Tamandua tetradactyla: one gene and its partners. The protein of the gene in region 2 interacts with the protein of the main gene of each other region in a biochemical or structural test. Links are inferred from orthologs where the notes say so. Each region holds a gene or a part of one and is shown on either strand. Other genes may lie near its edges. The genes, in order: RAD51, RAD51AP1 and DMC1.

Region 1 (10,771 bases), on a different chromosome or scaffold from region 2:
AAATATACTAGAGACACACAACATCAGATTTGAAGAGGCAGAAGAAAGAATAAGCAAGCAGAGGACAGGACAACTGAATTCACACAAAGAACAAATGGCGAAAAAGATGGACATCTTTGAATTGGATCTTAGGAAAATGATGGATAACAAAAAGCATAGAAATATAAGAATCACTAGTGTCCCAGAAGAAGAGAAGAATAAAGGGCTATGAAGATTATTTAAGGAGATAATTAGAGAAAACTTTCCAACCCTTATAAAAGACATAAATATGCTAATCAAAGAAGCCCAAATCCAAATAGGCCCACTTGGAGACACATACTAATCAACTGTCAGATGCTGAAAAGAAGCAGAAAGTCCCAAAAGCAGCAAGAGAAAAGTGATTCACTGCATACAAGGGAAGCCACATAAAGCTCAGTTTGGACTATTTGACAGGCACCGTGGAGGCAAGAAGGCAGTGGTATGATACATTCAAGATTCTGAAAGAGAAAAATTTCCAGTGAAGTATTCTTTATCCATCAAAGTTGTCCTTCAAAAGTGAGGGAGAAGAGAGCCCTGCGCAGCGGAGCCCCCACCACTGCTGGCCTAGTTACCATCTTGCCCCAGAGGAGCCAGAGCTGCCACAGCCGGCCCTCCTCACCAACGCCGCAACCATGAGACCCCAGCTGCGACCACCCCCGCCCTCAGTGCTGTTGACACCAAGCTCAGTGCCACAGGCAGTGGCACAGGAAGCAGCATCCCAAGCGGCCTCACATTGGCGGCACCTGCCTACAGGGACAAGATCATTGCCTGGAAAGTTTTGGGAACAGCAGAATGGTTTGATGCAAGAAATGGATATGCTTTCATCAACAGGAATGATACTAAGGAAGATGTGCTTGTACACCAGACTGCCATAAGAAGAAGTACCTTCACAGCGTAAGAGACAGACTGTGGAGTTTGATGTTGATGAAGGAGAAAAGGGGGCAGGGGTAGCAAACATCACAGGTCCTGGTGGAGTTCCAGAGCAAGACAGTAAATATGCAGCAGACTGTAACCATTATACACATTTTCCATGTTGTAGGGGCCCTCCATGCAATTTACCAGCAAAATTACCAGAATAGTGAGAATGGGGAAAATAACGAGGGATCAGGGAGTGCTCCCAAAGGCCAGGGCCAACAACACTGGCCCTACTGTAGGCGACAATTCCCACCTTACTACATGCAGAGACCCTGTGGGTGTCATCCACAGTTTTCAACCCTCCTGTGCAAGGAGAAGTGATGGAGGGTACTGACAACCAGGGTGCAGGAGAACAATGTAGACCAGTGAGGCAGAATATGTATCTGGGTTACAGACCAGGATTCCGCAGGGGCCCTCCTTGCCAAAAACAGCCTGGAGAGGACAGCAATGAAAATGGTAAAGAAAATCAAGGAAATGAGACCCAAGGTCAGCAGCCACCTCAACATTGGCACCGTGGTAACTTCAGTTACTGATGCAGCACTCAGAAAATCCTAAACCACTAGATGGCAAAGAGACAAAAGTAGCCAATCTACCAACTGAGGATTCTTCTGCTCCCAAGGCTGAGCAGGGTGGATCTGAGTAAATGCTAGCTTACCATCTCTATCATCATCTGCTTCAGTCATACAACAAGAAGTGAATATGAAATTCCAGCAATAAGAAATGAACAAAGGATTGGAGCTGAAGACCTTAAGTGCTTGATTTTTGCCAGTCGACCAGATAACTAGAACTACCTGCATTATCTATGCAGCATAGGGTTTTTTTTTTTTAATGGCACATTAACTATGAACTGGGTTGGGTGATGGGATGTAAGGAAACAATTATTCATTAATACATCAAATACTTCCTTATTGTTTACTAAGTTAGGCCCTGAATTATGCACTGACAATACAGTGGTGAAGAAGAAAAACAGCCATAAAACCCTAGAAGACCACATAGAGAGAATATGTAAATTTAGGTGAGAAGAAGATCCAATTTAATTTAATTTAATTTGTAATAAAAGTTTATAACTTAATTTTTTCAAAAAAGTCAACAAATTGCAAGTATCTGTTAATAAAGGCCTTAAATAACAATTAAAAATAGTGAGAGAGAGACTAAAATTTTCACAGACAGATAAATGCTAAGAGAATTTGCTAATAAGAAATCGGCCCTGCAAAAATACTAAAAGGAGTACTGTCAGCTGAAAAACAAAGATAGGAGAAGGAGGTCTGGAGAAGGGCACAGAACTGAAGAGTACTACTAAGGGTAACTTAAAGGATAAAAACAGAGAGAGGAAAAATATATAGATCTGACAAATAAAAACCAAAGGAGAAGATGGAAGATTTAAGAACTGCTTTTACAGTAATAACTTTCAACGTCAACGGACTAAACTCATCAATTAAAAGATACAGATAGGCAGAATGGATTTAAAAATATGATCCATCTATATGCTGTTTATAAGATATTCATCTTAGACCCAAAGATACAAATAGATGCCAAGTGAAAGGATGGAAAAGATATTTCATGCAAGCTGTAACCAAAAGAAAGCAGGGGTAGCTATAGTAATATCAGAAAAAATAGACTTTAAATGCAAAGATATCATAAGAGACAAGAAAGGACACTACATATTAATAAAGCAGAGAATTAATTCACCAAGAAGAAATAACAATCATAAATGCTTATGCACCCAATAAAGGAGCTCCAAAGTACATGAGTCAAATACTGGCGAAACTAAAGGGAGCAAAAGACCTTTCAATAACAATAGTGGGAAACATCAATACACCACTCTCCTCTATAGAAGAAAAACCAGACAGAGAATCATAAGGAAATAGAGAACCTAAACAATGTGATAAATGAATTAGACCTAACAGACATATATAGATCGTTGCAGATGAAGGCAAAAGTCATCCAAAATCTAGACCCAACAATCGAACCTACACTGCCCTCTAAGTGGTCAGGTGAGAGGGAGAGTTAGTTGCATGTCTCTTTCTTTAAATCAAAAGCTAGAAATGATTAAGCTTAACGAAGAAGCTAAGACAGGCTGAAAGCTCTAGACCCCTTGCACCAGTTAGCCAAATTATGAATGCAAAGGAAAATTCTTGAAGGATATTAAAAGTGCTACTGCCAGGAACACATCAAAGATAAGAAAATAAAACAGTCTTATTACTAATACGGAGAAAGTTCTAGTGATCTGGATAGAAGTTCAAACCAGCCACAACATCCCCTTAAGCCAAAACATACTCCAGAGCAAGGCCCTAACTCTGTTCAAGTCTCTGAAGGCTTGAGAGAGTTGAAGAAACTACAGTAGAAAAGTTTGAAGATAGAGTTTGGTTCATGAGGTTTAAGTAAAGAAGCTGTCTGAGTAACATAATAATACAGGGTGGAGCAGCAAGTCCTGATGTAGAAGCTGCAGCAAGTTATCCAGAAGATATAGCTAAGATTATTGATAAAAGGGGCTACACAAAAAAACAGATTTTCAATGCAGGTGAAACAGCCTTCTATTGAACGAATATGCCATCTAGGACTTTCATAGCTAGAGAGGAGAAATCAATACCTGGCTTCACAGCTTGAAAGGACAAACAGACTCTCTTGTTAGGGGCTAATGCAGCTGGTGACTTTAAGTTGAAGCTGTCGCTCATTTATCAATCTGAAAATACTGACCCTTAAAAGTTATGCTAAATTTACTCTGCCTGTGGTTTCTAAATGAAACAACAAAGCCTGGATGACAGCCTATCTGTTTACAACATGGTTTACTGAATATATATATATATTTTTTTAGTATATCTTGATACAGTAATTATATTGTGAACTTTTTTATTTTATTAGTATGACACCATTATTATTATTATTTTTTACATGGGCAGGCACCGGGAATCGAACCCAGGTCCTCAGGCATGGCAGGCAAGCATTCTTACCTGCTGAGCCACCGTGACCCACCCTGAATATTTTAACCCCACTGTTGACACCTACTGCTCAGAAAAAAAGATTCCTTTCAAAATATGACTGCTCATTGGCAACACACCTGGTCAGGAGCCCTGATGGAGATGTAGAGTGAGATTAATGTTTTAATGCCTGCTAATACAACATCCATTCTGCAAAGCATGGATCAGGGAGTAATTTTTACTTTCTAGTTTTGTTATTTAAGAAATACATTTCGTAAAGCTATAGCTGGTATAGAGAGGGATTTCTTTGATGGATCTGGATGAAGTCAATTGAAAACCTTCTGGAATGTATTCAGCATCGAAGATGCCATTAAGAACACTCATAACTCATGGAAGGATGTCAAAATATCAACCTTAACAGGAGTTTGGTAGGTGATTCCAACCCTCATGGACAACTTTTAGGGTTTCCAGACTTCAGTGGAGGAAGTCACTGTAGATGTGGTTGAAAAAGCAAGAGAACTAGAATTAGAAGTGGAGCTTGAAGATGGGACAGAATTGTTGCAATCTCATGATTAAATTTAAACGGATGAGGCTTGTTTAGTATGGATGAGCAAAGAGTTTTTGAGAATGGAATCTCCTCTTGGTGAAGATGCTGTTAAATAGTGTTGAAATGACAAGAATATTACATTAAACTAGTTAATAATGCAGCAGCAGCTTTTGAAAAGAGTGAGTCCAATTCTGAAAGAAGCTCTATTGCGGTCAAAATGCTATCAAACAGAATTGTATGCTATAGAGAGATACGAAAGGAAGAGTCAATGGATGTAGCAACTTTATTGTTGTCTTATGTTAAGAAATTGTCACAGTCACCCCCAACCTTGAGCAATCACCACCCTGATCAGACAGCCGCCACCAATATCCAAGTGAGAAGCTTCACCAGCAAAAACATTACAACCTCCTGGAAGCGCAGATGATTAGCAGTTTTCAGAAATAAAACCTTTTTATTTCTTCTAAAATTTATTAAATTTTAATAAAAATTTAAAACATTTTAAGATTAAGGTATGTACAATTTTTTTTTAAACACAATGCTATTGTTCATTTAATAGACTACAGTATAATGTAAATACCTTTTATATACACTGGGAAACCAAAAACTTTGTGTGGTTCACTTTATTGCAATATTTGCTTTATTGTGATATTTGCTTTATGGCGGTTGTACAGAACCGAACTACCAGTGTCTCCGAGATAGCCTGCAGTATTTCTATTTCTTTCTCCACTTCTGGAGAGCTAGCTCTCAGCTCAATTTCCTAGTTTCATTCATCTCCTATGGTTTCTCCAGTTTCACCACTTCCAGGGACCTGGAAAACAACTTGCTCTGGGAAATTGACTGACTCAGGTCTGGCGAAATGCCAAAAGCCCAGGTTCAGACACCGCAGAAACAAAGTAAAAAAAAACCGTCCCCTGAACCAGATTATCCACCACAGGGACGAGGGTGGGGGCTGCGGCAACCGCGGTACCTGCTGGGAGATATAGTTCCGGGTGACCCCACTACCTCTTGGGAGTTGTAGTCCTCGATCTGGGAGAGAGACGAGAACAGCAGTTCAGAAAATTTTAAATAATCCTTAGAGTAAAACAAAGGGAGCAAGCCTATAATACCATGCTGGTTCTCTGGACCCATCCCTCGGGCTCGCATGCAGTGTCCAAAGCGGCTCCGGGGGGATTGGAGAAGGGCGGGGACACGTTACGCTGACGCAGGCGTGACCCTGCCCGAGAGGGTTTGGCGGGATTTCCGAAAGCCGCCGAGCAGAGTGCGAGCTGAGGCCCAGACCCAGGCCTGAGGAAAGCTGAGGCGCGCTCCGGCAAGCGTAGTTGGGAGCTGAGCCTCGCTTGGATTGTGCGCAGACAGCCTGGGCAGGGGAGTAAGGAAGCGGGGCACTAGCGAGGAGGCCGGAGCTGGCCGGGGTCGGGCCCGCGCAGGGCCAGCGGACAGAGGTCAGAGCGCGCGGCTGGCGAGCGAGGGGCGCTGCAGGCAGAGGTGAGTGTGGAGGCGCAGATCCGGCCCCTTTCCGCGGCTCGTCCCCGCGTTGGCCGGAATGGGACCTGGGCCTTTGCTCTCCCGCCGCTTATCCTCTGTGCTGAGAAACTGGAGATGGCGGAGCAGGGGCGGGTTCCAGGCCCAACCGCCTTTCAGAGCTCGTTGTGAAGACAACCGGAACTGGGAGGAACCTTAGACACCTTCAAGCCTAACACCCGTTCTGTGGGCGAGGAAGTCGAGACCTAAGGAGGTGTAGTGACTTAGTTAAAGTCACAACTTTTTAATGCCACAGCCATGATTTCCGGATTCCTGGTCATTTCTCTTGACGCCACACCGTGTTTTGCTTACAAAGTGCCAATCTTCATTTGCCAAGAAATATTTTCATAATCTAATGTGGAAGGCTGGTCACGTGGTGGCCTGGGAATGCTGGGAAGTGAGTTTTCCCCCCTTAAATTTACCAAGTATAGTGTAATGTATGTAGAGGGAAAAATGCACACATCACGACTGTATGCATTTGTGTATTCAAAATAAATATACTTGTGTAATCACCACTCAGGTCGAGAAATAAAACGCTGTCAGCACCCCAGAAGCCTTCCTTGCACAACCTTTTCCAATACTTGCCCCTCTTTTCCTCAGAGGTAACCACTGACTTATAATACCATTGATTAATTTTGTCTGTATTTGAATATTGTGTAAATGAAATAATACTTTATGGATTATCTTGTGACTGACTTCATGAAACATTATGTCTGTAGATTCATAAAGAATAGTATTCCATATCCATTCTATTCTTCTTAGTTTCAGTTTTTGGATTTTATGAGAAAGGCTGCTGTGAACATTCCTATATATATTTTGGTGTGCATGTGCATGCTTTTCAGGTGGTTAATACACAGAATGGTGCAATTCCTGAGTCAAAGTATTTGTCTGTTTTGAACTTTCACATTTAATGCTAGTTTTCCAAAATGGTCAAAATAGTATACATGCACACAGCCCTGTAGGAGTCACTCAACTTGCCAGCACTTGATATTGTCGGTCATTTTAATTTTAGCTATTCTAGTGGGTATGTAGTATTGTCTCATTGTGGTTTTAATTTAAATTTCCCTGATTATTAATGAGGTTGGGCATCGGTTCATATATTTGTTGGCCATCTGGATATTTTCTCTTGTGAAGTGCTTGTTTAAATCTTACTCATTTTTCTTTGCGTTGTCTGTCTTTTTCTTAATTGATTTGAAAGAGTTCTTTGTCTATTCTGTTTGTCAGCCATTGATTATATATGTGGCAGAATTTCCCCCCTGAGTATATTCTCTTAATACTGTCTTTTGGTGAATAGAAGTTCTGAATATTATGTCCAATTTTTATCTTTTCCATTGTTTTATGATTGTTGCATTTTGTATACAGTATAAGCAATCCTTTCTACCCCAAGGGCAAGAACATAGTCTCCTATATTAAAAGTTTTGCTTTACCTTTTACATTTAGATTTACCATCTAAATTGGAAATTAATATTTTTCTATAATGTGTGATATTTTAGCAAAGTTCATTTTATCATTCCATCTCTATTTACTGAAAAGACCATCCTTTCATCATTAATCTGCAGTGCCATTGTTTTCATAAATTACAAAGAAAGGTATTTGAATTTAAATTGCATCCAGATGATTTGGATAAATTGAATTATTCTAAACTCACAGTATGCTAAATCGCCATGGAAGAGATCCATCCCCAAACCAATGGACACAAATGGTCATCTTATCTTTTCTCAAGTCTCCAGGAATGGAAATTTTGTATCTTTTATGTTTGTTCATTGTTTATGTATCTCTTATCTTTTAGATTACATTTGTCCAAAACTTTTTTTTTTGTGTGCTGTATGGCTGGGTCACATTTCATTCTTTTTTCCATGTGAGTATCCCGTTATTGCAGCACCATTTGTTGAATATTTGTTTGTTTGCTTGTTTTGGGAAGTACATGGGCCAGGAATCAAACCCCGGTCTATTACATGGCTGGTAGGAATTCTACCACTGAACTACCTGTGCACTCCCTTTGTCCAGACTCTTTTGATGTTATTTAAGATGACGTATTCTTGTGGACATCAAGACTCGTTCATTTTTACAATTTGAAACTACTTCTTTCCAAGGCGAGCAATCATAATTCTATAGGCCTTAGGCTAAATGGAAGGGTTTACACTGAATGGGTCACTTGCATGTTTTTCATTTTCTCATTCACTGAGGTGTCTAAAGTTCTGTAATTGAATAAAATGGTGATCCTTGAGTTTCACACTCTCCTATTGACAGCAACAAGTGTGTGATTAAGCTATGATCTTTGCTTAAGTTTCCCTTTCAGGAACGGAGGCTTATGGGCAGCCATTCTGTATCTTCATTTCACTCCTGCCTCCCTTCTTCCCTTCCTCCCTTGCTCCACCCCGCCAACCCCCAGAATTCCTCTTGCTAGAAGGAAACAAGGGAACGAAAGCTGTTAAACCTTTCCTAGGTTGAGAGTTGTTTTTTTTAAAGTAGAGTACTGGAATGTCCGGATTCTTCTAACAAACATTTATCAAACACTTAGCATAATGTATCATGAAGTGTATAAAAATAAATAAGACTTTGCTCCTACCCTCAAGGAGTATAAAGATAATATAAGAAATTTAAGATAGGGATATAGAGGGGAATAGTTAATCTAGTGAAGCTGTGCATCTTTAAGAAGCCAAGTGATCCTGGCTCTTCCTGAAGCTTTTATGTTACAACTCTATCTAAATAGAGGGGAATGCTGGTGAAAGGTTTGTTCTTTTTCCTGCCATGGTTAGGTCAGTGATTAGACTAAACGCCTAACAAGTAATTTTTCAGAGATTTATTGTAAAACTGAATTTGCAACTCCATACTTAAGCCACAGTGTTTCTCTAATATTTTTGATGGCCATCTGTATTTTTCAGTATTGAACACCCCGAGTAATGGCTATGCAGATGCAGCTTGAAGCAAATGCAGATACTTCAGTGGAAGAAGAAAGCTTTGGCCCACAACCTATTTCACGATTAGAGGTAAATGCTAAGTTGTTAAGTTTTGGATTATAATGTTAAACAAGATTCTTCTACCTGCTGGGAGAAATAACAGCCTTTACATAAATCATTCATTTCCATCCAAGATCAAAACTCAAATGAGAATTTTCGTGAGAGTTTTCAAGGATTTTGTGGGAAGGGTTAATATAGGAGCTAAACATGTCTGGCCAGGGCTCTTTTGTCTATAATTCTCCTACGTTATCATTTTTCTTTCTCAGAGTTGGGCTGTCAGATGCTAAAAAGCTTTAGAATCCCCTGGTAGAGTCTCTGTGCCGTTTGCACTTAAGTATATACGTGCTGTCCAGAGAATTCCAGTGGCTTGTGCGCAGCCATGCAGGGAGAAAGGAGCAACTTCTCTATATCACTGAGATTTGTGCTGGAGTTACTAGCAAGGCAGCTGTCACAGGCAGAAAGAAGGACTTGGGGATATAAAGGGAAAAGAGCCAAGCTCCAATGCAAGACTGCCCAAAAGCATTAAGCGCCAGAGCTGGGGTCCTGTGCTGTTTTTGTCCATTGTACAGTGGTACAGTATTAGTGCAGCTAACTTGTACTAAAGAAGTTGGGGAGAAAGGAGAGAAAGTTTTGATTCTGATTGCTTTATTATGCATGTTTCCCTTATCCCAGCTAAGCTTCAAGACCCCAGAAGTTAAGTAAATGGGTAAATGTGGTAAAACATCAGAGATGGTTTTTTTTTGTGGGGGTAGGGGTCTGCATTTTTGGTTAATAGTCATGACTTTTGGTGCCATGAACATCCTTATACCCAGGTATGTGTATTCCTTATTGCTAAAATAGTCCCTGCTGGAATAGCAAACATGGTTGGTTTCTATAGGCAGATACTATTTTCTCCCCTCTCCCAAGCCCTTCCTGCTCCCAGATACATATATATCCCCTCACTAACTCATTCTTTCCCCAGAAGTCATGGTTTTAGTGTCTAATAATACCAAAGCTGTTGGGTATAGGGAGAGAATGGTGTTCTTGGGTTGTTTGTTTTGAAAAGTGGGATAGGGCCCCTGACCAAAAGTAGTCGTCTTCAATCTTTACAACAGAACATCCTAGTCATTGTGCTACAAAGAGGTTATTAAGTGTAAAGATAGTGATACCCTCCATTCTGGAGCAGCCTTATCTGTTTATCCAACATAGTGTAAACTGTCATTTTCTATTAATGTGGAGAGATTGGGAAGCACTGGTTTAAAGTGACCTTTAAATTGACCTTGACCAGGGTCTCAAGGCTTGTTTAGTCACAGTCATAAAAAGTTGGGAGTTAGTGGTTTATTCCTGGTACTTGCAAATTACAGGTTTAATCCCATTATATGATGAGTCCATTTTAATGTACATGACTTTGTAGTAGTTTAAAAATACTGGCTTTGATAATGAAAAGGTTTATAGTTACTGCATATCTCATAAGTAGGGCACACTTTTCAAGGCTTTTGCAAATAATATTGCAGTTCTTCAAAACAACTGTGAATTAGGTGGAATAAATATTATTCTTATATGACAGAGGAAAAAACTGAAGCTTAAATTATAGTTTTCTACCTTGTGTCCGATGCTCCTTTTATCTATGGTACGGACAGATGAGTAAGACATATGGATTAAAAATAAATAATAGGGCGAACAAATGTTAAAATTTAAAAATATATGTGTTGGATAGATGGAAATACTAGTGGTCAGTGAGAGGAAAGGATAGGGGGTGTTCTAGTTTGCTAGCTGCTGGAATGCAATATACCAGAACCAGAATGGCTTTTAACAAGGGGAATTTAATGAGTTGCTAGTTTACAGTTCAAAGGCCGAGAAAATGTCCCAATTACAATAAGTCTATAGAAATGTCCAATCTAAGACATCCATCC
Region 2 (10,325 bases):
CCATAACCTGAAATGTAATAATGACCAAACACAAATTAAAGAAATTAGGTTTAAGGGCTAAGCGGTTAGATAGTTAGGTCTTAAATAACGGCAAATTGCTTGAATTAGGATACAAGGAATGTTTTCAGAGACATCAGGAGCTAGAAGTTCTATACAAATGTTTTGACATTTGTCAAACTAGAAAGAAGTGTTCTAGTTTGCTAGCTGAGAGAATGCAATATACCAGATATGGAATGACTTTTAAAAAGGAGAATTTAATAAGTTGCTAGTTTACAGTTCTCAGGCCAAGAAAATGTCCCAATTAAAACAAGCCTATAGAAATGTCCAATCTAAGGTATCCAGGGAAAGATACCTTGCTTCAAAAGCCAGTGAAGTTCAGGGTCTCTTTCTCAAGTAAGAAGGCACATGGCGAACATGGCATCATCTGCTAGCTTTCTCTCCTGGCTTCCTGTTTCATGAAGCTCCCCAGGAGGTGTTCTCCTTCTTCATGTCCAAAGTTGCTGGCTGGTAGACTCTGCTCTCTCTGAATCTCTCCAGCTTTCTCCAAAATGTTTCTTGCCTTCAGCACAGCAAGTTCCAGAAACTAATCAAGACCCACCCAAGGCATGCCTCCACCTAATCCAGCTTAACAACCACTCTTGATTAAATCACATCTCCAAGGAGATGATGTATTAGTTTCAAGCATACAATGCTGAATAGGGGTTAGAAGAAACAGCTGCCTTTACAAAATGGGATTAGGATTAAAATATGGCTTTTCTAGGGTACATACATAATTTTAAACCAGTACAAGAAGCAACAAGTTTTTCTCACAGACTTAGAGTAAGAAAAGTTGCTAGGGTGCTGAGAAATGCATTGGTTTGTTTTGAATTGAAGTCTTGTGATTTATTTGAAAAAACCTAGTGAACTTAATATCCCCAATTTACCAAGAGGAACACAATTAAACCAAGGAAATAGACAAGTCTAGCTTCTTAACAGTTGCAATGTGGAATATGAAAGGGTTTCGATGAACTCTTCTTATTCTGATACATTAATATCCCTTGGTTTATCATGCACTTCAAATGGATATTTTACTGATGCATGATTTTGTTACATCATTTGTTGGCAATCTGGAAAATACTGGTTCACTGAGTTATGCAGGTCTTCCAAATATCTATATACTTTACTACACAATATCAAAAATCACATTTGTTAATATCACCATCAAATTCATCCCAAAAGTCTTTGAATATTGGGAAGCCATCAAGTTTACAGTGCCACACACAAGTTTTCCAAAAAACTTCTAATTTTTGCTAGTCAGCACAAATTTTATCACTGGAAACAAATGCTGTCAGTTATTTTCTTTGAAGTGACAGGTTCAATAAGTTCCTTTTCCAGAATGTCCACCATATTCCAAGTGTGAATAGCTCCTAGCTTGTCAGTTAGTTGTTCTTTCAAGTAAAAATGGTATAACAAGGCAGCTATTTCAGCTTGTAATTTACACATTCACACAAGTGCTTTTCCTAGAGATAACTATTGTACTTTGGTATGTAGAAGTGCTTTATGCATACTTTCCATTTCCTCACAGAGAATATTAAAAAGAAGTGTATTCTTGTTGTTACTCTCCTACTCTTCAGAGTTCAGATTTGAGAGCTGAATAAAACATGGAAACCCCTTGAGAAGTATTAACATTGAACAACGATAAAATAAAATCAGAAGTCTTCATTTAAAAAAAATACATCCAAGGGTTGAGCTACAATAAATATAATTCTTACTGTTTCATCAGGAATATTCTTTTTTTCATATATATATTTATTAAATATAATCACATAAAAACACAACCATTCTTACCATATGTTCATTCCATTCTTGATATATAATCAATAACTCACAACATCATCACATAGTTGTATATTCATCATCATGATCATTTCTTAAAACATTTGCATCAAATTAAAACATTTGCATCAATTCAGAAAAAGAAATAAAAAGAAAACAGGAAAAAAATTCATACATACCATACCCCTTACCCCTCCCTTTCATTGATCAGTAGCATTTCAATCTACTAAATTTATTTTAACATTTGTTCCCCTTATTATTTATTTATTTTTAATCCATATGCTTTACTCGTCTGTCAATAAGGTAGATAAAAGAAGCATCAGATCGTTTTCACGATCATACAATCACATTGCAAAAGCTATATCATTATGCACTCATTTTCAAGAAACATGGCTATCAGAACATACCTCTACATTCTCAGGCAGTTCCCTCCAGCCTCTCCATTATACCTTAACTAAAAAGGTGATATCTATTTAATGCATAAGAATAACCTCCAGGATAACCTCCTCGACTCTGTTTGGAATCTCTCAGCCACTGACGCTTTATTTTGTCTCATTTCGCTCTTCCCCCTTTTGGTCGAGAAGGTTTTCTCAATTCTGATGTTGAGTCCCAGCTCATTCTAAGATTTCTGTCCCATGTTGCCAGGAAGATCCACACTCCTGGGAGTAATGTCCCACATAGAGAGGAGGAGGGCAGTGAGTTTGCTTGTTATGTTGGCCGAGAGAGAGAGAGGCCACATATGAGCAACAAAAGAGGTTCTCTTGGAGGTGACTCTTAGGCCTAATTTTATGTAGGCTTAGCCTATCCTTTGTGGGGTTAAGTTTCATATGAACAAACCCCAGATTGGGGGCTCAGCCTATTGTTTTGGTTGTTCCCACTGCTTGTGAGAATATCAAGAATTCTCCACTTGGGGAGGTTGAATTTACCCCCTTTCTCACCATTCCTCCAAAGGAAGCACATCTTTAAGTGAAACCGGCATTTTCTTTTTTTTCACTCCGTGTGGCAGGAAAGAATGCAATGACTACTAGTAAAGTTTGGTGTCACTGACTTGATTCATGCTAAGGCACCAGAAGTTTTACCCATCATTGCAGTGCAAATGACAAAACAGTGAAAAAGCAAATATCTTATTTGAAAATAAGATATTTTATTTGAATTTGTATTATTATGAAAAATAGTTTTGATCCCACAGACCCTCTGAAAGAATCTCAAGGACCCTTAGTGGTCTGTAGAACTTTTAAAAATGCTTTTCAAATAAAAGGATTATATCTTCTTTACTTGCATGCTTAAAACACATTTCAAACATGTGTTTGAAACAGAACTCTTGGTCCCCCACACCTCCTCAGCATGTTCCATTTCCTAGTCGCCTCCATTTCAATTAATAAAAAAATCTACAGAGCCTGCCCATATTAAAAAAAAAAAAAATTTACATAGCAGCTCAGGCCAAAATTCTTGTGGAGTCATCTTTGATTCTTTGTCCTTATCAAGAAATTCACTTCAGCAAGTCATCAGCAGTACCTCCAAAATATATCCCAAATTCATCTATTCCATCCCATGTCTACTTTTAACACCCCCTAATCTAAGCCACCAAAATGACATCATAGCCTTCCAACAGGCTGCTCTGCTCCCATTCTAGTCATGCCATCCACCCATTCATTCTCCACTGGCAGCCAGTGACCTTTATAAAACCAAAATTAGATTTTTCTCCCCTATTTAAAATCTTTCATTGGCATCCCTCTGTAGAAATAAAATCCTTTCTAAGGTCTGCAAGGCCCCACCTGGTCTGGACACTGCCTATTTCTCTGACCTCATCCGTTACAACTCTCCCCACTGCTCACTATTCTACAGTGTTAGTGGCCTTCATTTTGTTCCTTGAACATGCTCACGCTTAAAGCCTTAATAGTTGCTGTTCCCTCTACCTGGATTGTCCCAGATTTTCACCTGTCTAGCTCTGTCTCATTATTCATATCTCAACTCAAGGGTTATCTCCTCAGAGAGCCTTGGCTTAACTATTCTATTTAGAATAGGGCTTCCATCTTTTCCACTATCACACTGTGATGTTTATTTTCTGCTCCCTATTCACCCACCCCCCACTGGAATGCAACCCCCCAGCACCTCCTATAGGACAGAAGTTAATATGTTCAATAGCTTTTCTGAATGAATGGTTGACGTTAAGCCTCCATGGCACTCAAATGTGATTAAGTAGGGAATAGGTGCAAATAGTATAATGAAAACCACTGAGGATATGGAGTCAGATGACATAGATTTGAATATTCTCCTGCAACTCACTTATCTTTGCCTTTCTGCCTGGGAGTTTTTAATCGATGAAATAGGGATAATTAACCTTTCTACGTTAAAGAAAACTAGTGATGAACAACTGAAATAACACTTAAGTAGGTATTGTTCAAATTTTAACATAACAAGGTCTTTTGCGGGGTCGGCAAAGAGTGAGAGAGAAGAAGACTATGATGCTAGGATATTTCTGAGGAATGCGTGGCTCTGACGGGAACCTGGAGAGTTTCTTCCTGATAAGGCCTTTTCCCCTAACCATATAACTCCCACCATCCCCACCCTCCATCCTACCGAGCTCTCCCTTCACTCCTGTGTAAGCTAAGTTGCCCACTGCATCTTCCTTCCCTTCCTCCCCAACTCCGTCGAATGTCATTAACTACCTACCGCACAGGCCGCACCATGGTCCGTTCCAAGGATGCAAATCTGCAGGTCTCAAGTTCTCCTAGGAAGCACTGGCGGTTTCAACTCCCGCCTAAAACCGAAGAACGAAGCTCTCCGCCCACTGACAGTCAGTCCTCCAATCATTTCCCTAGTTTTGCGAAAGCGCATGCGCCCTGAGAAAATCTCATTTGTTCAGGCCCTTCCCAAGACAACTGCACTTCCGTATCCGGTCAACCCCAGCGGAGTTTGCGCTTTGCCCTTGCACTTTCGTGATGACAGTGACTTTTGCGCCGTCTCTGAAATACGCAATAACAGTAGAAATGCACCTTCCTAATTGAAGCAAGAAGAAATAAGTGGTGCTTAGATCTATGGGTTTTCCATCCAGTACCAGGGACGAGGAGGTGGTGTGGGGGAATCTGCCGACGGAACTGCTGGATGTAACAACGAGTAGGTAAAACAGCTGATATCCCTAGTGCCGAGGCTCGTGGACCACTCGGAGTGTGCCGATCGCTGAAGACTTCGGGACTAGACAAGGTGAGACTAAAGAACGAGGCCCTTCAGTCTGAAAACCCCTAAATGGGCTCCGTTGGCTGGAGTTTCTCGGCCCCGCAGCCCGCCTTCCTTTTCGCAGACGAATTTTACCCTCGGAACCTCTACTAAATTAACTGTATAAACTAGGTGCGGCCTTCCTCCCACAACATTTTTTTTTTTTACGGGAAGCCTATCTTGTTATCATCCCTGCTAAAACTGAGGCGAGGCTTTAGATAGTAAAAAAAAAAAAAGCGGAAAGGTATCACTTTGTTGGACTGCAATAAAATTTAATGTCCAACCGATCGAAACTAGAGCTAATGGTTTTTGCTTACCGAAAGTGTTGCGTTTGAACAAAATTATACCATAACACCATATTTTTATAACTTTCAATTTTCTACCACAGTATTCCTTTACTGCTTCTGCCTTGGTCATGTGCACACAGCTATTGGCCTATAGGCTCCCCCACCCCACCCCAATAGCTAATTATATTATTACTAGTTTCTATATTGATCATTTCATGTTTACCAGGTACTTCATATTATTTTATCAATCCTTATGACAGTCCTGCAAGTTAAATGCATTATCCCCGAATGACAGTTGCTCTGGCAGCAAGTAAATGGCAGAGTCAGAGTTCGGGCCATTTTACTGATAAATGAAAGATTCGTTCTCTTATCACTGCATTGACTGCCTTCAACAAATATTTGCCTAAAGTCAACTCTGTATGCAGTGGTTCAACTTTTGTTAAGACACAACTCTTGTTCTTAGGATTCTCACTGCCTAGTGAGGACATGGTACAGATGAAGCTGGGGATGTAACTGCGGATCAAATCATGGACACCCTTGTATGCCATGCTGGGAAGTTTGGGGAGGAGGCAGTGGTAAACACTCAGGAGTTTTAATGAAGGCAGTCTAAATTCTGGAGAGTTGGGAATGGTTGGTTTGCTGGGGGTAAGGAAACCTGTTAGGCTGTTTAATATAAAGTGAGTGTGAATGTCTCTTTAAAAAAAAAGTTTTTTAATCGTGAAATATAGCATACCTACAAAGAAAAGAAAGCAATAATTTTCAAAGAACTCCCTAATACCTTCAGTGACAGAACACCTTCTGTAACATGCAGCTGTGGAAGAGATTTCAGAGCCTATTATGGGCCACCATTCCGCCATTTCAGTTCCTCTCCCTGCTGCCCTTCCACCCCAACAGCTGCAAAACACTGGAAACTAGAAGGAATATTAATATACTGATTCAGCAATCATGCTTGTTTGTTAAATCCTGTTTCCTGTGTTATACCCCCTTCTCCTTTGATCCTTCTCCCATCTATAGGGATCTTTAGGCAATGCCCATTCTGACTTTTTCATGTTAAGGGGTTCAACACTAAAGGATAAGGGGATGTGTTCTAATTTGCTAGCTGCTGGAATGCAACATACCAGAATCAGAATGACTTTTTAAAAGGGGAATTTAGTAGTCGCTAGTTTACAGTTCTAAGTCCTAGAAAATGTCCAATTAAAACAAGTCAATAGAAATGTCCAGTCAAAGGCATCCAGGGAAAGATACCTTGGTTCAAGAAGGCCGATGAAGTTCAGGGTTTCTTTCTCAAGTGAGAAGGCACATGGTGAACACAGTCAGGGTTCCTCTCTCATCTGGAAGGGCACATGGTGAGCATGGCGTCATCTGCTAGCTTCTCTTGGCTTCTTGTTTCATGAAGCTCCCCAGGAGGCATTTTCCTTCTTCGTCTTCAAAGGTCGCTGGCTGGTGGACTCTGCTTCTTGTGGCTATGTCGTTCTGCTCTCTCTGAATCTCCCATTCTCCAAAATGTTTCCTCTTTTACAGGACTCCAGTAAACCAATCAAGACCTACCCAAATGGTCTTGACATGTCGTCACCTAATCCAGTTAAACAACCACTCTTGACTAAATCTCATCATCCAGGGAGATGATCTGATTACAGTTTCAAACATACAGTATTGCATAGGGATTATTCTGCTTTTATGAAATGGGATTTTGATTAAAACATGGTTTTTTAGGGGGCATACTTCCTTTCAAACCAGCACAGAATGTAATTAATTGATACTCTTGGAGAGGTTGGTCCCTCTGGGTTTCAGGACTTACTGGCCTAGCAACCCTCTTGAAATTATAGGTTCCAAGAAAACAAACAGTGCATGGAACTTTTATAGAGTTGGAGTTCGAGCCTAGGTGTTCTTAAGAGTTAACAGGAGTGACTTTGATTGGGGTTTAGCAAACCATGGCAACTAGCACCATCTAACTGAAGCTTGCATAAGAGTAGCCTCCAGAATAGCCTCTTGACTCTTTTTGATCTCTCTTAGCCACTGATACCTTATTTTATTACATTTCTTTTCCTCCGTTTGGTCAGGAAGGCAGTTGTCTATTCATGGTGCCAGGGCCAATCTCATTCCTTGGAGTCGTACCCCACATTGTCAGGGAGATTTTCACACCCCTGAATATCACCTCCCACATATTGGGAAGGGTGATGATCCTCCTTACAGAGTTGGGCCTAGAAAAAGAGAGAGAGAGGCCACATCTGAGCAACCAAAGAGGTTTCCTGGAAGCAACTCTTAGGCCTCATTATAAATATTCTTAGCTTCTCTGCTACAGAAATGAATTTCACAAGGACAATCCTCAAAATCAAGGGCTTGGCCTGTTTTCTTGGGAGTCCCCAGTGTTTGAGAGGGTACCTGGAGTTTCCCAGCTGGGAAAGTTTTTAATAGTTCCATGTTTTGGTTTTTTTTCCTTCACACTCTCAACCAATACTTTTTAATTATCAGCCAACCATAGTCCTGAGATGTATCCTGATATTACATTAAGCTATACAGAATTATAGGCCTTGTTTCCGTCCAGGACTCCAGGAATTTGGCTTGTTTAAATGAGCGGTACAAACAGGTTGATTTCGATTGTGTGCTACACAAAATTTAGATTCTAGACATAATAAACCTCTCTGCCTTTGGTCTTATACAGTAAGTGAAAGTCTAGAGTACAAAAACTATCATCTTTTACTCTGTATTCTGATTTACCTTAGCCCCAGCCAGATTGGCTTTGTTTTTATCTCTAATTGAGACCTGATCTCTTTTTTGGTTACTTTAATTGTTATAGTACATAGCTGTGCTAACTTTCAGGGCTCAGCACTCACATTTTTGTGTCTTACGTATCACAGTTACTTAGAGTTCCAGGGAAATACTGTCTGATACACATATAGCTCAGTGTCTCAGAATCTAGGAATATACTTACAACTTCAAACTAAGTGTGGCTGCTATAAGGGCTTACAAACTAGGCTCCATTTTTCTTATAAGTATTTTCTGAAAGAGACCTTAGCATATTTGTTCTTTTGTTTCTGGCTTATTTTGTACCACATTATCTCCAAGGTTTATTCAGTTCGTTGCATGCCTGTTGGTGTCCTTTTTTGTAGCCACACCATATTCTTTCCTATACATGTATCACAGTTTGCCATTCTTCTCAGTCATTGTATCCTTTAGTTCCCTTCCATAATGGGCGTCATAGATAATGCCCAAAATAAACAAACTATGTCTTATGGTATCCTCCCTGGGTTGTACAATCAACAGCATTCTCAATTTTGGACAAGTTTCATTTATCTTCAGCGACAAAGAACTGACACACAGCGTCACCAAATATCGAAATCAAAACTACCCCTTATCAATTGTACCTCCCCTGCAATTAGTTGTCCCTGGTAGTGCTGTGGTACTGTTGATGTCTTCTTGTTAACTATTGACCATATCATGCATTTTTAGTTTTCCCTCTGTACCTCTTTACTATTAACTCTTTGTTCAATGTCAAATCTTTGAAATAGTTCATGCGAGAACTTACTTATAATTGTAGATTTACTCAGTGGGATATATGGGCACTATACATTCCCTTTTAATCATATTCACCTTCAATATAGCAAAGTTACTTATAATGCCACAAATTAGTTACTGTCACTTCTATCTGTTTTTCAGTACCCATGTTCTGTCCCAGTTCAGTGGATTTGGGAACCTTATCGAAGATCAGTTGTCCATATTTTGGTGGTCTGTCCCTGTACTCTCAATTCAGTTCCATTGGTCAATACTATCTTTGTGCTAGCATCATGCTGTTTTGACCACTGTGGTTTTATAGTAATCTTTAAAGCCTACTACTTCGCTCTTCTTTTTTAAGGATATCTTTAGCTATTCAGGGTCTCTTTACCTTACAATTAATTTGAGAACTAGCTTTTCCAAATCTTCAAAATAGGTTATTGGGATTTTGATTGATTTTGCATTGAATCTGTAGCTCATTTTGTGTAGAATTGACATCTTAACAACAGTCAACCTTCCTATCCATGAGAATGCAATGCCTTTCTATCTATTTAGGTCATTTTTAATTTCTTTTAGCAATGTTTTGTAGTTCTCTATGTACAAGTCTTGACATCCCTGGTTGGACGTATTCCTTTATACCTGATTCTTTAGATAGCTATTTTCAATGGAATTTTTTCCTTAATTGTTTCCTCAGATAGGTCATTACTTGTGTTTGGAATTTTACTGATTTTTATACATTAATCTTATATTCCACCACTTTTCTGAATTTGTTTATTAGCTCAGATAGCTTTCTCATAAATTTCTCAGGGTTCTCTAAGTATAGGATCATGTCATCTGCAAATAAAAATTTTTGCTTCTTCCTTTCCTCTTTGAATGCATTTTATTTCTTTCTCCTGTCTAATTGCTTTAGCTAGGATTTCTAGTACAGTGTTGAATAATAGTGGTAACAATGGGTATCCTTGTCTCATTTCCAATCTTAAATGTTTTCAGTCTCTCACCGTTAAGTATGATGCTGGCTATGGGCTTTTCATATAGGCCCTTTATGATATTGAGTAAGTTTCCTTCGATTCCTAACTTTTGAAGTGTTTTTTCAGGCCAGGATGCTGAATGTTGTTGAATGCTTTTTTCAGCATCAATCGATAATGATCATGTGCTTTTTCCCTTTCACTTTGTTAAGGTGATATATTACGTTGATTGACTTTCTTGTATTGAACAGCCTTTGTGTTCCTGGTGTAAACCCTACTTAGTTATGATGTATAATTCTTTTAATGTGTCATCGGATTTGATTTGCTAGTATTTTGTTGAGAATTTTGGAAGCTGTGTTCATTAGGAAGGCTGGTCTGTAGTTTTCTTTTCTTGTAGCATCTTTATCTGGTTTTGGTATTGGAGTGTTGTTAGCTTTATTTAACATTCTTTTTTCCTCATTTTTTTTTAAGAATTTGAGCAGAATTAGTGTTAGTTATTTTGGAATGTTTGATAAAATTCCCCTGTGAAGCCATCCTAGTCCTGGGCTTT
Region 3 (10,599 bases), about 36 Mb from region 2:
AAGATAATTTTACAAAGTTGTACTAAATTATGGAATATTCATGAGGACCTGAGAGTCACTGTTTAAGTTGATTATACTTTAATAGAGTAGTTTAAGAACTTTGAAAAGTTTGCTGATCAGGTCAAGCAATAGAAGAAATTCAAACATATTAAAGTTAATATTGCTGTTTGAATTGTTTGATGGAAGTTAATTAGTTGTAAATGGGACAAATTTATTTAAGGGCGTTGGTCTGTTGAATTTGAGTTGGTGAAACATTGATCAAATAATTGAAAGCAATTATTAAAATGTATTAGATCTATAAGTAAAACATTATTATTGAAGGTTTAAGGCAAAGTGAATTTTAAAATGTATTACTTTAATAAATTAAACATTGATTTTTTAAAAAACCGTCTAGCATACAAGCATAACGTTTCCTTTAGTTACCATGATGTATCAACAAAGCCTGATTACCTTTCAGCTTTAAATGATAGTGAGATAAATAAAATTATAGTATCACAAAATTAAAAGTATAGCGCAAAAGGACCGGATACAAAAAACTCAGAAATGGACAGCACAATACTACCTAACTGTAATACAATTTTGTTAAAACACTGAATGAAGCTGCATGTGAGAATGATAGAGGGAGGAGGGCTGGGAACATAAATGAAATCAGAAAGAAAGATAGATGTTAAAGATCGAGATGGTATAATCTAGGAATGCCTAGAGTGTATAATAATAGTGAAATGTACAATGTACAAATTTTTAAAATGTTTTTGCATGAGGAAGAACAAAGGAATGTCATTATTGCAGGGTGCTGAAAATAGATGATAATTAATACTTTAAAATGTCACCTTATGTGTGAGACTAAAGCAAAAAATGTTTGTTACAAAATTTATATTTTGACTAGAGCATTTTCTAATATAACTCATGTAGATAGTTTGATTGAACGTCATAAGTACTTGGAATCTCAGGTAGGACATGAGATTTTGTTGGTTTGTCCAGAGTGATGCCCCGATGAATCCCAGAGTGATTTGATCAGTGACTGGAAAAGTATTTGCAAGCCCCTTTCGGGGAATGGTGAGAGCAGGGAGAAATTCAAATTCCCCAAGTTGAATTCTTGATATTCTCACAAGCAGTGTGGACAACCAAAGCTATAGGCTGAGCCCCCAGTCTTGGGGTTTGTTCATATGAAACTTAACCCCACAAAGGATAGGTCAAGTCTACTTAAAATTTAGGCCTAAGAGTCACCCCCAAGAGAGCCTCTTCTGTTGCTCAGATGTGGCCTCTCTCTCCAGCCAACATGACCAGCAGTCTCACCACCCTCCCCCTCTCTGCGTGGGACATAACTCCCAGGGGAGTTGCCTTCCTGGCAACGTGGGACAGAGATCCTGGAATGAGCTGAGACTCAGCATCAAGGGACTGAGAAAAACCCTAGAATGAGCTGAGAATTAACAGCAGGGGATTGAGAGAAACTTCTCGACCAAAGGGGGAAGAGTGAAATGAGACTAAGTGTCAATGGCTGAGAGATTCCAAATAGAGTCGAGAGGTTATCCTGGAGGTTATTCTTATGCATTAAGTAGATATCACCCTGTTGTTCAAGATGTAGTGGAGAGGCTGGAGGGAACTGCCTGAAAATGTAGAGCTGTGTTCCAGTAGCCATGTTTCTTGATGATGATTGAACAATGATAAAGCTTTCACAATGAGACTCTGTGAATGTGAAAACCTTGTGTCTGATGCTCCTTTTAACTACCATATCAACAGAAGAGTAGAACATATGGAATAAAAATAAATAATAGGGGGAACAAATGTTAAATTTAGTTTGAAATGTTAGTAGTAAATGAAAGCGAGGGGTAAGGGGTATGGTATGTATAATCTTTTTTTCTCTATTATCATTTTATTTCTTTTTCTATTGTCTTTTTATTTCTTTTTCTAAATCGATGCAAATGTTCTAAGAAATGATGAATATGCAACTATGTGATGATATTAAGAATTACTGATTGTATATGTAGAATGGAATGATATCTTAATGTTTTGTTTGTTAATTTTTTTAATTAATAAAAAAGTTTTAAAAAAAAAGAAAATTAGTAACTAGTTAAAGTGTTTCCACCCATCGTGGTGCCATCCTTTATTAAAAATACAGTTTTAACCTGCAAAAAAAAAAAAAAAAAGTATAGCTCAAAGATAGGGGACCATGGTCTGCCTCACGTCAATCTCTCCACTCGTGTCGTGTAAAAAGAGCTGTAGATCCTTACTGAAGGGACTGTGTCTAGAAATGCCAGGCAGCAGAGAAACGGGAAATGATCCAGAGGCATAACTAGGTGCTGTGGAGTTGGGCACCCAGTGCTAAGAAGCTACTTCCCAGTGGACATCTCAAGGATGTAAAAGAAATTTCCCACTTTTCCAAAACATACTAGAAGCAGCTAATTCTTGGTAATGATGGTAGTTGTTTTGGGGGTTAACTTGATATATATTCTGACTGGATCAGAGAACAGACTGTTACACTCACAGAGCATCTTAGCACCTGTTCCCCATGCTCTAGTTCCCCACAGAGTGACACAAAGGGCCAGATATCACCTGTGAGTGCAGTGGGGTTTAAACCACAGGAGAGGAACACCAAAATTATGAGACTTGAAGTTGTGCAGGGCATTACACTTTACTGCTCCTCCTTCCCTCTGGAGATAGACAGAAAAATGTCAGTACTGCCTAAAACTTCTCTAGGAGAGAAGCCAAAAGTCCCTAGGTTTTACAACTCTGAAACATAAGCAAATGAGAGGAAAGATGTCTCTAAGTTTTATTACCTTCAGAGTGAGCGCAAATGGCTTCAGGGAAGAAAAATCTCTAAATCTCTCTCCAGAACAATGCACCCATCTCTAATTTCCAAGGCCTATTTGCCATTCAATCATAAAGTCCATACCATGCAGAAAAGTGAAAACATTCATGGGGAATTGTCTCTCAATAGGAGAGAGGCAGATCTAAGGTTAAACTACGACAGTAGCACTTACTGTAACTATTTATATATTCATTTATAGCCCCCACTAGGGTTTGTATATTGTTTTATGTTGAATCCCTACCGCCCAACACCTTGCCTGACAAATAGTAAAGATTCAATACATATTTTTGAATGAACTAAATACGTTTAAATGAAAATGTGCCCATGGAATTCTTTTTGTGATAACCCTTCATTCTTTAATTCTCTGCTAAAGCATTTCTCAAATTGAAGCTCTTAAGCCTCCAAGTATATCCATCCACAGGCACCAATTTTCACAAACTCTCAGGAATCAGGTGTCTCTATTTGGTTATAAGGTAGTTGTCCACAGAGGGGCAGTAAAGTATAATTGTTCAGGTCCTGACTGTAATCCCATTGCCTGTTTATTTTTATTTTTAAGAATATCAAATGATAACACGAAAGCTTTGTCCTCTGTTCTGGTTTCTAGAGAACTTGGGCTAAGGTATGTTTATTACAGATTTTTTTTTCCAATTAAAAAATTGGATTGTAAAAAAAAAGAATATCATAAAAATGACACAAAATTTCAAAATTTTACAGAGAAATTGTAGACACCCTGAAGGATTTATGAAATTGGGCAAGCTTTATTACCCTGTTGGCTAATAACAGGACAAAAGCTCTGGCTTGCTATGCTTTATATCTAGGATAGGAAAGTGGCATTTTGCCATGAAGGATTTTTTTTAATGCAGCCATATTGATCAGTCTTTTTGGCAGTCCTTTGTGTCATACTCTTAAACCCTTTTCTTATTCTGAGATTTTAAAAAAATCTCCCATATTTTCTTTTAGCACTTTTATTACTTTATCGTACAGATCTAATTTTTTAATCCATCTGGAGTTTATTTTGATATAAGGTATGGTACGTAGTTATTCCAACACAATTCATTGAACTCATCATTTCCTCACTATCTTGAAAGGCCAACTTCATACTCAGATTTCTGTATGATTTGAAAGTCTCGCTTTTTTTTGTTGTACTGTCTTAAGTGGAAAGGTCTTTATGCGCAATTTTTAACTACCCCAGAGTTTTGAGCTTTTGTTCTAATCATTTTAAAGTTGTATATAACTATCAATATGATATCCAAACAAGATTTTTGTCTTCACATCATGAATTTGTTATTGTCAACCACATTTCTGTTTCTTTCTTTACGTGTACTGCACACAACCTTCAAATATTATGACCATCTCTCTCCCAGCTGTCACTACACCAAACTACATATGTTATATTTCCCTAAATCATCTTGCTGTGCTCTTTGCAGCTTTTCTGTATACTGCTGATGTCTTCATGTAACAAGATGCTCAGAAGTTACTATAATTATTTTAGGTGACTCTCAGAGTGAAAACCTGTCATCACTACCCAGTTCATCCCCAGAATGGGTACTCATTTCCATTTAACAAGAAGGACAGGCTATGTTTCTGGAAAATAACAGAATTTGAAGAGCTATCCTGGTTATTTATTGGCTCTTTAGACAATCCACCTGGGGGGGGGGGGGATGTCCTACAAAACACCAACTGCTATTGTGGGAAGGTTTTGCTATTTATTCCAGTAAAATGATTCAGACATCAAAGAAAAAGTGTCGCCCTGTACTGGGTCTTGAACCCAAAGAACTGTTTGCACTGATATTCATCCAAGATACATCACAGCCTCCACCTCAACAGATGCTCTTTCAAATGTTTCACGACTCTGCTCAACAACAGTCTCCATTTAAGGATGACGCTGCCAGAGATGGCTCTGCTGGCGTGAAGGCTGGTCTAAGACTTCTGTTTAAAAGCTGGACCAAAATATGTTTGGTTTCTCTTGTCTATTTAAAACTTCGAGTTCAGATGAAGAAAAATTACTCTCCATCCGAAGAGTGTCTCAATCACAGACGAGCGAGTGGTAAATGTAACAGAGTTATAGAGAAGAGCGAGTAGGAGATTAGGGACAGTGAAGTCTTAGGGACAGGCTGTGAAGCCAGGCATGAAAAACGTGGGCCGGATTCCTCGACCTCCTAACCCAAGGGTTCCGATTAAACCAGCATTCTGCTCCTCACTGCCCTCCGCCACGTCAGCCTTCTCCCCACAGTCCCCTCCCTCAGCCTCAAGGGCTTCCACTTCCGTGACCCCCTCCCTCGAATCAGCCACTCCCCCAACGGCCTCTCCTCAGCTCGGAACAGCCCCACCTTAGGGCGCTCTTGCCTCCAGCAGCCTCTCTTCAGCGACCGCCCCAGTACTCCCTAATTTCTCTTCTCAGCACTCCCACCTCAGAGTCCTTTCCCTGACTTCAACATTTCCCTCACCCCAGGGGACGCCCCAGCCTCTCCTCAGCACACTTCCTCAATCCCAGCGCCCCTCCCTCACCCCAGCACGCCACCCCCAGGAGGCTCCGCCGAGCTCTAGGTTCCCTGGGACCCCACCCGCTCCCTCGCTCTCCGCCCCGCCCCTTGGGCTCCGCCCCCCGCGAGCTCCGCCCCCCCGCGAGCCCCGCCCCGCCGCGAGCCCCGCCCCCGCCCCGCCCAGGCGGTCGTCGTTTGGCGCCAAACTCTGGTCGGTGACGCGCTAGTGGCCTCAGGCGTTCGGTGTTGGAACCAGAATCTGAGAAGCTGAGGACTGGAAAGCCCGGCCGGGGGCGGAAGGGATTCACCTTGAGAACCTCAGGGAGAGTGTTGGTATGAGGACGTGGGGAGATGGCAGAAAGAAAGCGTGGGCGAAACCTGAGGGGATGGTCAAGCGGAGTTCGCTTTCTCGCCCCTTTCTTTGATGATACTCGGTGGTCGTTGCTGGGGCCTGGGCTAGTGGCTTACCCCACCCCCGAAGGCTTCTCAGTGGCCTAGGGGGATTTCCGGCATTCAAATCAAATCAGACCGAAGTCTTGATGACGCCCCCACGGCCTTCTTTCTTATGAGGCAATCGGGTGTCAGGGAAGTGTCTGGCAGCGGCGCTGGCTGTCGGGGTCCCAGGTCCGCGGACGCCCCATGCGACCAGGCCTCCTGCTGAGGGGGGCCTCGCGGTGACCTGCCAACACCCCCCCACACACACGCGCGATAAGGGACAGCTCCGGTCCCCTTAAATCGAGGCGGCAGGCCATGGTGTAAAACCCAGATGACTGGGAGTCCAGAAGATGGACTTTTCAACCCATCAATTGAACAATCTTTTCCTTTTATCAGGGAGGAAGAAATGGATTTTTTTTCTTTAATTCAGTGCGGAGAGCGGATGTGGAATTGTGGGTAATCATAAATATAACTGTCTGAAGGACAGTGTTCCAGGAGAGCCCATTTAAACTGTCTCCACATTTGCCTCCTATACCTACCTGTTTAGAAGTAATAAGTAGTAAGAACCTTACTTCTACATTAGTAGTTGTTCCCAGTTCTACTGGGCTCCAACCCCTAGCTTTGCTATTCAGTGAAGAGATGGAAAGGGAATACAGTCATACCTAGTAGACCAGGAGTTTAAAATAATTTTTTAAAAACAATTTTAAACAACTGTTACAGTGTTAAATAAAAAACTATTTAATTGTTTGTTGGCCCTAATGTTATTATATTGAGTATCTGCTATATTTTTAATCTTAAAAAATATCATGAAACTAGTAAATGCAAAGATGCATGTTACAAGAGAGACCATTCCTAATCAGCAAGTAGGAAGTCATCATATATGAGAAAATAAAATCTATTTACTGAGAATAGACTATAGTCTAGGTGCCAGGGAGGATGCAAGGAAGAATAAAAGTCAAGGTTCTTACAGCGTTGTTTTACATAAACATAAAAGGTTAAATAGCAATACGCAATTTTAAATAACATTCCAAGGCAATAAAGATATTATCAGAAAGTTATGATTAACTGTGCTATACAAAATAAATATGATTAAAAGTGAGCAGTGGGGAAGAAAGAGAGAAGAAATCAAACAATCCTCCCCACCACACCAACAAACTAAACAATACCAAAAAAGAAGATAGACATCCCATTCTTTGCAAACTAAATGCTTTTCTTATTGTCCTTCTTGTCCTTAATGACTTTGAAATGAAATCAAGGAGGCTTCTGGGCAAAGGATCATGTACTGTATGAAGTATAACTACTTTTTAAATAATACTTCTTAATTTCCCAGAATTGATTTTTTTTCTGCTACCCAGCTTTCAATATGAAGGAGGATCAAGTTGTGCTGGAAGAGCCAGGATTCCAAGATGAAGAGGTATGAATAGAATGTTGAAAGATATGTAGCCATGCAATCATTCCACAAAAATTAAGTTCCTTCTCTGTTAGCTACTTAAAGAAATTGCGAGACTAGAAATAAGGCAGTTCTATAGAGAGGCAATATTAAAACTATGTAAGTTGTTACAACTTATACAGCAAATGGTTTATCAACTGGACAGGAAAGCATTTTAATACAGCTTGTATGGCCAGACTGGTATCTATGTATGCTAGTATCAAATAGCAGCCTGATTGTAGAGGAAAGAGTTCAAAGTCTAGTGGAGAAGAGGGTTGAGAAACAGGTTTAATGCTTTCCATTTCTTTGGGTAAAGGCCTTAAAATTGGGGGGGAGGCCGTGACAGAGGTTAGGTTTCCTAGCCATTTCAAACTTGGCACTTCTAAGTATGTAACAGTGTGTTAGAAAAACATTAGTAATCCTTTCTCCATCTGTCTAGAAAGGTGGAATTTGAGGTATTTTGGAGTAACTCATAATACTGAATTAACTTTTTCAAAGATGTGAAACAGTTGGCCATGAAGAGTCAGAACTCAATTATTTTTTCCATTTCCTTTAGGAATCTTTGTTTCAAGACATTGACCTATTACAAAAACATGGAATTGTAAGTATTTTTCAGTGCTGTGTTAAATTGTCCAATTCAGTATGTTTCAGCCTCGGCCTTATTGACATCTGGGGCTGGATAATTCTTTGTCTTGGGAATCTGTCCTATGCATTGTATCGTGTTTGTCAGCATCCCTGGCCTCTCTCCACTCACTACATTTCCAGTAGCATCTTTCCAGCTGTAACAACCAAAAATGTCTCCAGACATTGTCAGATGTCTCCAGGGGATAAAATTGCCCCAATTTGAGAACCACTCGTCCAACTGGAGGTGTTCAGTCCATGTCATTTCTTCCTACATCTACTGTCTTCATTAACAGAAAATTCACTTCTATATTTCAGATGATCAGAGTAAATGATGTTGGTAAAAATCCACACTGAGTGACAAACTAGATGAATTTCAACAATAATCAATTGCTCTCTGACATCTTTTGAAGTTTTCACATTTAATCTCTTTCAGTTGGTTTTAGAAAATAGAAACAAGAGAAATCCTGGTCCCTACGTGATGTAGTTATTTACATTCTCCAAGGGCAGAGGAAAAAATCTTTTAAATAAATTAAAAATGAACATATTGGTAATGAAGTTCTGTAGAAGGAAAGAGTTGAACTGAGGGGGTGAACGCGTGAGAAGTTTGTTCGTTTTTCCACTAACAGACTTTTCTTTTAAATTCCTTGTTACATTGCCATGGTCTCACTAACATTCTTGGGAAATCAGGGCACAGCCAGAACATTTGGCAGCCTGCTGGGTATGTTCTACACAGATATTTCCAGAACATTTGGCTACATTGTGGGTGGGTTCCACCTGGCTGCTTGTATAAAATTGGCATCATGGTAGAAAGAAATGGACACAAAAGCACATGACATAGGGTGAGAGGCTTTCAGACTGGCATTTTATCAATCTGCTATGCCCATTCTTTTATTTTACAGAATGTGGCTGACATTAAGAAACTGAAGTCAGTGGGAATCTGTACCATCAAAGGGATACAGATGACAACAAGAAGAGCCCTATGCAATGTCAAAGGGCTCTCAGAAGCAAAAGTGGACAAAATTAAAGAAGCAGCCAACAAACTTATTGTAAGTAAAATCCATTCTTTGCTCATTTAGCTTAAAAAAGTCTTGTGTGTTTTTGTAGCCTTTTTTCATTATGAACACCAGAAACTACTGTGGAAACTCAGAGTTCCTGTAAATCACAATATTATACTCTACATGTTAGCATTTAACACTTCAATTTCAAAGCAATGGCAATTTATTTCTGAAAGATTGAGGTAGGGGTTAAGCTGGAACACTAATGAAGATGTTCTAGTTTTCTAAGTGCCAGAATGTAATATACCAGAAACATAATGGCTTTTAAAAAGGGAAATTAAATAAATTGCAAGTTAACAGTTTTTACGCTGTGGAAATGTCCCAATTAAAGTGAGTCTATAGAAATGTCCAATCTAAGGCATCCAGGGAAAGATACCTTGATACAGGAAGGCCCATGAAGTTCAGGGTTTCTCTCTCAACTGGGAGGCACATGGCAAACGTGGTCAGGGTTTCTCTCTCAGCTGTAAGGGCACATGGCGAACATGACTCTCCAAAATGTTTCCTGTTTCATAGGATTCCGGTAAGCTAATCAAGACCCACCTGAATGTGTGGAGACAAGTCTCCACCTAATCCAGCTTAAGATCCACTCTTGTTTGAGCCACATCTCCAGGGAGAGGATCTAATTACAATTTCAAACATACAATACTGAATAGGGATTAAAAGAAACATCTGCTTTTACAAAATGGGATTAGGATTAAAACATGGCTTTTCTAGGGCACATAAATCATTTCAAACCAGCACAGAAGGTAATTCCTTCTTACCCAAACTTTTCTCCCCTTCTGTTTGTTTACCTTTCATTCTCCTTTTCTTCTTCTTCTTTTTTTTTTAAATCTTCCTTCTACTTATTTTTGTCTTATCTCCTCAAAAACTACATCTCTGGTTGTTGCAAAACATGCAATACCAAAGAAGTTGTTCTCTTCTGGTATAGGTCAATTGATAATAGAGGATGGGGTTGGAAAAAGACTTCAGTAACAGTCACTGGGTCTGCATCTGTGCAGTAGAATTAGATATGACCAAGAATATACTCTCTGAGATAGCTGATCTAAGTAACTTATGCCTTACAAGTGGGCCCACAGACTATGTAGGGCCCATGCAGCTAAGAGGCTGCATTTGTCTTTGACCTAAACTTTCTTGTAGAGCTTTTGGGTACCATAGGAGGCAGCCAGATCTGGAAATAAAAATGTAAAGAAAGGTAGTCACTTTCTTTTAAAGTCTCCTTCTTTAAAGAAGAGCAGACTTTCCATTTCTGTTTGTGTGTGGGGGCGTCTTGTTCCCAAGGAGTTCTAAAATCTCTTCACTGATTCCCTTCACCAGAGGCAGTCAAAACAGGGGAGTAATGCCAGTGACTGCGGTTTTGGTAGTTAGATTCAGTTGTCAACTTGGCCAGGTGAAGGCACCTAGTTCTGTTGCTGTGGACATAAACCAATGGTACGAGAACCTCATCTGTTGCTGATTACATCTGCAGTCAGCTGGGAGGCGTGCCTGCTGCAATGAATGACGTTTAACTTAATTGGCTGGTGCTTAAATAAGAGACGCAACGTAGCACAGCCCAAGCAGCTTGGCATACCTCATCTCAGCGCTTGCAGCTCAGCCCAGGCCTTTGGAGATGCAGAAAGGAATCACCCCGGGGGGGGAAAGTTGTTGGAGCCCAGAGGCCTGCAGAGAAGGCCGGCAAAGATTACCCTGAGCCTTCCCACGTAAGAAAGAACCTCAGATGAAAGTTAGCTGCCTTTCCTCTGAAGAACTAACGAAATAAATCCCCTT

Evidence for each region.
Region 1: the proteins of RAD51AP1 (region 2) and RAD51 form a complex in vitro, tested with the Homo sapiens proteins (6 studies listed by BioGRID and IntAct). The link is inferred for Tamandua tetradactyla from reciprocal best matches to the Homo sapiens genes RAD51AP1 and RAD51.
Region 3: the proteins of RAD51AP1 (region 2) and DMC1 form a complex in vitro, tested with the Homo sapiens proteins (2 studies listed by BioGRID and IntAct). The link is inferred for Tamandua tetradactyla from reciprocal best matches to the Homo sapiens genes RAD51AP1 and DMC1.

The regions. Positions count from the first base shown.
Region 1 is NC_135340.1:53,975,450-53,986,220, forward strand, and holds the start of RAD51 (DNA repair protein RAD51 homolog 1), read left to right. Parts: upstream 1-5,422; 5' UTR 5,423-5,690; exon of another isoform or gene 5,691-6,316; intron 6,317-8,802; 5' UTR 8,803-8,822; coding exon 8,823-8,909; intron 8,910-10,771.
Region 2 is NC_135333.1:66,778,424-66,788,748, reverse strand, and holds the start of RAD51AP1 (RAD51-associated protein 1), read right to left. Parts: upstream 4,656-10,325; 5' UTR 4,506-4,655; coding exon 4,489-4,505; intron 1-4,488. UniProt on the Homo sapiens protein: Structure-specific DNA-binding protein involved in DNA repair by promoting RAD51-mediated homologous recombination.
Region 3 is NC_135333.1:30,911,580-30,922,178, reverse strand, and holds the start of DMC1 (meiotic recombination protein DMC1/LIM15 homolog), read left to right. Parts: upstream 1-5,477; 5' UTR 5,478-5,625; intron 5,626-7,057; exon of another isoform or gene 7,058-7,082; 5' UTR 7,083-7,090; coding exon 7,091-7,141; intron 7,142-7,712; coding exon 7,713-7,757; intron 7,758-8,679; coding exon 8,680-8,826; intron 8,827-10,599. UniProt on the Homo sapiens protein: Participates in meiotic recombination, specifically in homologous strand assimilation, which is required for the resolution of meiotic double-strand breaks.